Ovis aries: one gene and its partner. The protein of the gene in region 2 purifies or fractionates together with the protein of the main gene of each other region. This does not show direct contact. Links are inferred from orthologs where the notes say so. Each region holds a gene or a part of one and is shown on either strand. Other genes may lie near its edges. The genes, in order: interferon-activable protein 203 and MKI67.

Region 1 (3,818 bases), on a different chromosome or scaffold from region 2:
GCTTTGGCCTATTTCTCCTGTCACTTGCTTATTTGCTGCAGGAATAGGTGTTGTACCCCAGCGTGATGGTAACCACAAGGGTCATATCAGGACAGAATAAAGGCAGGCGAGCATAGGAGTCGATGCACATGTGTGTGTGTCATTTTTCCACCCTGATCTGGTCTTATCCTGGGAATAGGGCACTATGAATGAAAAACGCTGCCTGCCATATCAGTAAACTGAGGATGTTGTGGCCATCAAGCCATCGCATTACAGCTGCCCACACTGTAAGCCCTGAGGGAACTCAGGATAGAAGCAAAATGCCCTCCAGCAAGCAGTCAACTGCTTCAGCCAATCCTGACGGCGCCCCCTCAGGAGACTCAGGGTAAGGATACTGGCCCCAGATAGCTGAACTTTATAGCAAAGGGTCTGTGAGCCCAGATCTTTGCATCTTTCTGTATATAAAAATGTGTTAAATTTTAACTTGAGACATCAGGTTCTCTTTAAAAACAGTAACATTTTGATGTTCTGACTGCCTGGTCCTTGTTAACAAGATTCCTGTATAACCTGCCTCCCCTTCTTGCTTCTTCAGAGCAGCTCTCTCAGAGCTACCTGAGAATCTGTGTCCCCATCTTAAGTCCTCATATTTGTCTGCTGAATAAAGCATAATTCTTAACTTTTAGGTTGTGGATTTTTTCAGTTGACAGGCACCTTATAATTTATATTATAGTTCAGTAACAAAGAAAAATGTACATTTATTATAGTTTCAGTAAGTGCTAAAAAAGGGAAAGTAAACTGACCTTTGAAAGCAAGCAAGAGGAATACCTAATATATTCTGAGAGTGGGCAGGTATCAGTGGGGACTTGCCCTAGGAAGAGATTAAAGTTTGCAACTCAAGACAAGTAATTTCAAACATGAAAAGTGTCTATGTCAAAATATCAGACCTGAGAAGGAGCACCGGACTTTGAAAATGAACCCTGCCATGTGGTCAGTGAGCAAATGGGAAGAGGGCCAAAGGAAAGTGGAATGTATGAAGTAAAGACACACTCATTTTGACTTGTTTTGTCACCTTTCCCTCCTCTTTCTATTCAATACAAGAGAGTAAACCTCTCAAAATTGGAGGTTTCATGAACTCATGCTTTGGTAAACAGCCAAATTAACAAGGAGTTAGAATAGAATGGGATCACAGATTAAACACTGATAAATGAAGGGGTAAGTATAATAAATGACTAAATGGGAAGTTCAATGATGATAATTCTTGTACTTCTCTTGTAAGAAGTGCAAGGAATGGGATCAAAAAGCCGGTACCTTGCTTGAGAAATTGCTGAATGGTTTTGGTAGAACAATTGGAGTCATCTGGCCACTGCTCACAGTTGGGCACAAGCTGGTTGCTGAAGTTCCTGGAAGCTGACTCTGGTTACAAGATATCATCTTCCTTTTTAAGTCCTTAGGTGTGGTGGCTGTGTCACTTTTTTTCTGGATAAAAATAGATTTTTTTCTTAGTTCTTGAAAATGATTTTCAAAATCACACAGAATATAGCATCTTTTCTCTTTCTCAATGTTGAATCTGAACTTTTCAATTTTTTCTGGACTGATAGCACATATTCCAATACCTGTATTACTTATCCTTTACCTACCTCAACTATGATTACAGATTTCACTCTCCAAATACTAACAGCTCAGACAAAATTTCATTGATTTGGGGATGGAATCTGGGTCCTACATCTGATGCAAACTGGCCAAAGCAAGTAGATAAACTTCCCTGGCTATAAGAGAAGTAAATCTCAGTCTAAAGTTGGCTGCACTTAAGGATGTCTGTTAACTACGACTTTTTCATCAAGAAAAGACACAAGTGGGTTTCTAGTATCTATTCTATAGGCTTCTACAAACCTACTGATCTTCTGAGAAATATTACTGGGAAAAATATGGACTCTTGTGACTAATAAGAACAATGACAACAACCACAACAAAACCACAAATTTAAAGTCCCCTTATGTAGGAGTTCTGTCTTCAAGTGGAATGTGCGGGGTGGTGGTGAGGATATAGCCTGAGTTAGAGGGCAGCTTGGGTCTTGGGTAAGAAACTGGGTTAGAGATTGTGGTTTAAATCTTGCCTTTGCCTACCCTTGACACTTATCTTGGGGGAATCTTTTCCTGCCCATTCATCTTAGACACATACTCCATAGTTCCAGGTTTCATGTAACCCAGGGCAAAATAAAAACCAGGTTGGGATAGAGGTTGATGCCTACAACTGTGGACTCACTTTCCCACCCCTGTCTTGTATTCTCTTTTGATAGAGCACCTATACTCCAAGATCATTGTCTAGAAGAGAAGAAAAACAAATTTATTAAAGTTGTGATACACACTATACAGGAATAGTAAAGGATTCTGTAACGGCGATAAAAAATGAGACTATCTATAAGTTTTGGGGAGGGGTGTCTCAGTGAGGACATGCTGAGGAAGGAATTCAGGCTGGTACCTGATGGTTGAATTAATTTAGCCATTAAAGCAACATGAATCATGAGTGTGAATCAAGGAATTAGCCTATGAGCAAATACCTGACATAGGAAGGAGCATAGAATGCTGAGAACTAATCTAGAGGTGTGGTTAAGAGAAAAGGGATGAAAGGAAACCGAAATGTTGGGGATAAACATACCCTTATGTTCCTGTCTAATTGCCTGGCCACCTCCATAGGCCTGTCACATTTGTAAGGTCAGCAATTATTCGTAAATGTAAAAATGTCCAAAAGTCCAAGGACTTAGAACACACTAAGACCTCAACACTTTTTTAATTCATTTATTTAATTTGCCTCAATATTTTATTTGATAAGTTTTGGGGTGATTTGATTGCATAAAGAAGTTTGTATCTAGAAAGGGAATACTGAGAGATTTTTTTCGGGGTCATGAGTATTCTTATAATATGTTGTAAGGAGGGACACGTATTAGGAACAGGAAAATGGTACCTTGGTTAAGGAACTGCTGGATGGCTTTGGTGAAGGCATTTGAGGAGTCTGGAGAAGGCCCTTAGTTGACTCTGTGCTCGTTACTGATGATCCTGGAAGCTGACTCTCCTCCTTGGTTAGCTTCATCCTCTTAGATTCACTAGTTTCGGTGGTTTTCTTTCTCTGAAAAGTAGGATTTCCCCTGCCTGGTTAGTAGTTTTCAATGAGAAATGAAATACATCTTCACTACTTAGAAAATCAACTTTTTATTACTAGATTCTAATTATACTCATTCTAGTTAATCTCATTCTCTGTTGCTCACTTCTCCTGTCCTCAGTCTTTCTCAGCATCGGGGTCTTTTCCAAAGAGTCAGCTCTTTGCATCAGGTAGCCAAAGTACTGGAGCTTCAGCTTTAGCATCAGTCCTTCCAATTAATTTTCAGGGTTGACTTCATTTAAGATCGACTAGTTTGACCTCTTTGCTGTCCAAGGGACTCTCAAAAGTCTTCTTCAGCACCACAATTTCAAAGCATCAGTCCTTCAGCACTCAGACATCTTTGTGGTCCAACTCTCACATCTGTATATGACTACTGGAAAAACCATAGGTTTGACCTTTGTCAGCAAAGTGATGTCTTGGCTTTTTAATATGCTATCTGGGTTTGTCATAGCTTTTCTTCCAAGGAGCAACCATCTTTTAATTTCATGGTTGTGGTCACCATCCACAGTGACTTCGGAGCCCAAGAAAATAAAGTCTGCCACTGTTTCCACTTTTTCCCCATCTATTTCCCATGAAGTGATGGGACAGGATGCCATAATCTTCATTTTCTGAATGTTGAGTTTTAAGCCAGCTTTTTCACTCTCCTCTTTCACCTTCATCAAGAGGCTCTTTAGTTCCTCTTC
Region 2 (3,818 bases):
GACTGCTCCGACTAGTGTCTGTCAAGCGTACAGTGGAGATAGGAGTCTGTGTCTCTCACTTAAAAAGAAGGGGGAAAAGTAAGCACTGAATAAGTCTTAACTGAGGCATTTCCAGTGGAAAGGTGGAAGGAACTTCCTGATGAGTGGGGCTCTGATCTATATCCAAGGAAACACCCTCCGTGGGAGTCTAACCACCTCGGGTCAGCGTGGGTTCCAAACCCACCGGAAGGGTGGGTTCAGCCCATTTCCGGGGCTCATACAAAAGAGGTGGGAAGGAGACATACCTCATGCTCCTATAGCAACAGGAAAAGAAAATTAACTGAAATGAAAAGAAATTACAGACTACCCAGGCCCTCTGGAGAAGTGGAGCTGGGGGCTGGGGGGCACACCTCTCTAGAGATATACAAGATCACACCCCTAAAGGGTCAGTGATGAAGAATTCTGAAGAGCTGATGGTCAAAACCATGGTGTGCCTGCCATCCAAGCTCTGTCTTTCACCTAGTCGTTCTAAAAGGGAAAGAACACAATCTTACAGCTCTGTCTTTCCAAATGGTATTTAACTATAACCCGAGCGTGACCACTTGGCCCAGAAGTGTGGTCAGCAGGCTGCCTCTGCAGAGAAGGGAGGTCCTGAGGACCCACCTGTGCTCAGCCACCCTTGGGTTGTGGTTCAGAACTCAGGGGTCCATTTGCCAACACCTCTGGGAATGCGTTCTCACAGAGACATTGATGCTTTTTACTTTATTTGAAAGAAGGTCTTCACTGTTATTCTACTAGTGTGAGTTTTGGAAAGAGTAAAAAAAAAAGTGTTCGTCACTTCAGTTGTGTCCAACTCTTTGCAACATCATGGACTGTAACCCACCAGGCTCCTCTGTCCGTGGGATTTCCCAGACAAGAATGGTGGAGTGGGTTACCAGTTCCTTCTCTAGGGGATCTTCCTGACCCAGGGATCGAATCCAGGTCTCCTGCACTGCAGGCGGATCCTTTATGCTGAACCACCAGGGAAGCCCCTGGAAAGAGTGTGGACCCAGGATGTGTGCCATCATCAGACCCCAGGGGGAGGGCCGCGGGGAACCTCACCTTGATGATTTTCTTCAGGACGGTGGGCGTGTGGGCGGCCAGTGACCGTCTTTGCTTTGGCGTCTCTCCTCTTTTGAGAGGTGTGTTGGGAGGTAAGTTTTCATCGAATAATTCGGGTCTCAGGCAACCCCCAAAGGAGACCCGCCTCCTCTTCGCAGCCACGCCCTCCATCTTATCTGGAGGAATGGGCACAGGTGTCAGAGTGCAAAGCAAACCGCGCCCCGAGTGCGACCCGCTTCCACTAACCATTAAAGACAAACCTACCTCAAGTTCACCGAGGCCTGGCACCTCCCCACCTTCATACTCTCCTGATGCTGATGAAGCTAATGAAAGATCCAGGACAAACCACAAAATGCCAAGGCCCAACGCGATAATGTAAGGACTCTGTTTACACGGTGACAAGTCCTGTGCGGACAGAGCCTAAGAAGGGCGTGGCTGATCAGTGGTCCCCACTGTGGACCAGAGGGATGCCAGCAGTGAGCTCCCTGATCAGTGGTCCCCACTGTGGACCAGGGGGATGCCAGCGATGAGCTCCAGCAGTGGACTGAGTAGGCTTTCCCAAGGGACTCACTCAGGCCTCACCCAGACCTGCCTGTGAGTGGAACCAGGGGCTGGAAGCTTTTCCCAGAGATCTGGACAGGCAGGCCCAACTACACACCTTTGTGAACTGCTCATCAACACAAACCCTTGTCTAAGCGACATGCCCCATTTGCGACACTCATGGGGAACACCATGAAGTCATGCACGTGAGTCTGATTTCAGAACCACACACCCCACCCCATAGGCTCTCTGCAGATGCAGAGCCGACAGCCGGGCACAGCCTGAGCACCCAGGTGGTCCCCGTGAGGACTGTGAGCTGGGCACAGCCGCTGAGCACCCGGGGGTCCCCGTGAGGACTGTGAGCTGGTCACAGCCTCTGAGCACCCAGGGGTACCCCCTGAGGACTGTGAGCCGGGCACAGCCTCTGAGCACCTGGGGTCCCCTTGGGAGTGCGGGAGGCTCCTGAGCTGCATCGCCTGCCCCACGGGTCACATCTCTGCTGCCTGCAGCATGCCATCAGGTGGCTTCCCCACTTGCAGAAGGAAGAGAATACGACACCTGTCCCACTGGCCCACCTATGCCAACACGGAGGCTGGGGAGCCACTGTCTGAAGGGCACCCACAGCAGCGCCTGGCACATAAACCCATGGAGGCGGTCCAAGGGTGTTCTAGGAACCACCCCCCATGGAAAGATTTCCAAGATTTCCACTGCTTATTCTAAAGGCTCAACCTATAGGATATAAGAGCTTGTAGTTCAGAACTGAACTCCTATGAAAAGCAATTATGCTCAAGCTTATTCTCCCAAGAATCAAATATATTTTGGGGCCACCCTATCTCCTTAGACCCCTGCTAATTCTTCCCTAGTAGCCAGCACCTCCTCTGGTTGGTGGGTTACCAGGGCTTTCACATAACTCTATGATGACGAATACGGCTCTTATGATAGTCCCTTATTGTCTCACAGAGCGAATCATTAGCGAATGAAGGAAGGGACCGCTAATTCACATCTAGACACAAGGTAGGTGTAAACTTTGGGGGGGAAATAAATGGACAGTTAAATAGACTTACTTGTGGAATCACCGAAGCTGCTGATTTCAGCTGCATCAAGGCCGGATAACCCAGGGCCCACTTGTCCAGTTGCTGGGCCCAGCTTCTCAGGCTTGTTGAGAAGATCACTCTGAATCTTCCTTTCAACTTGCAGGGCCAGTGAAGCTGAGATCATCGGAGGTGGAATCTCAGTTTCTGCAGTCAGACGGTCAACATTTGCAGGCACACTCTTCCTCTTTCTAGAGAAAAGCTTTTCTGGTGTATTTCCAAAACTCCCAACTTTAACAGGTGTTTGATTTTCAGGCAAGGACTTCTGGGGAGTGAACATCTGGTCATCTGCCCTGGAGCCTTCACTTTGGTCTAGACTCTGGGATACATGGCCACCGCCAGCACCCGGGTTTGCACTCCGCCGCCTCCGGGAGGGGCTGTGTGGTGAACACCGCAGGGGCATCGTGGTTTGCTGTGAACACTGCACGGGGGTCCTGGTTTTCCTTGTCTCCGTCTCCGTGCAGGCGATGCCAGGACTCTTGAGCTCCTTGGGCATCTGAACCGGCTCCCCACTCCCCTCTCCCTCAGTCTGGCTACTTCCTTGCTCCCCTAAACCAGGGTCTGCCTTCATGTGGGGGCTTCGGCCCGACTTCCATCTGGATTTGGGGGAGACCAGAGTCTCGTGCTGTAACCCATCAGTGCTTTCTCTGCCTGTTGTGCAGTGACGCTGCGGTCCTGATTTTCTGCGATTCTGCAGAACGCTGACTTTTCCTGGGTTCACATCTAACTCCACTTTCATTGACTCGTAAAGCTTCCTAAAGGGAGACTCACTTTGGTCACTCCTTTTAAGATACTGTATGGAAGAAAGAGCCTTCGGTTCTTCACGACAGGCCCCTGATGCTACACTGGGATCTTCTTTCGAGTCCCCAGTGGTGGGATCCGTCGCACCTCTGTGGGTATCTCCAGGAAGTTCTGAGGAACGAACACGACTGGGTGTTTTCCTGGCCACATCGTCTTCCCAGCGCCCCCACGTGGCGTGTGTGGCCGTGACGTCTTCCCCATGGGCCACAGGCCCTCCTGAAACAGCTTCTTCCGTGACTTCTGAACGGGGACTGGAATCTTGAGCTTTCCCTTCTTGACAATGAATTATGAAATAAGAAGAAGTTT

The links.
Region 1: the proteins of MKI67 (region 2) and interferon-activable protein 203 purify together in Homo sapiens (affinity purification with mass spectrometry; 3 studies listed by BioGRID and IntAct, with this or other methods). This does not show direct contact. The link is inferred for Ovis aries from reciprocal best matches to the Homo sapiens genes MKI67 and IFI16.

The regions. Positions count from the first base shown.
Region 1 is NC_056054.1:109,959,177-109,962,994, forward strand, and holds part of interferon-activable protein 203, read right to left. Parts: intron 3,103-3,818; coding exon 2,941-3,102; intron 1,456-2,940; coding exon 1,288-1,455; intron 1-1,287.
Region 2 is NC_056075.1:47,010,221-47,014,038, forward strand, and holds part of MKI67 (proliferation marker protein Ki-67), read right to left. Parts: intron 3,786-3,818; coding exon 2,685-3,785; intron 1,257-2,684; coding exon 1,081-1,256; intron 1-1,080. UniProt on the Homo sapiens protein: Protein that associates with the surface of mitotic chromosomes and acts both as a chromosome repellent during early mitosis and chromosome attractant during late mitosis.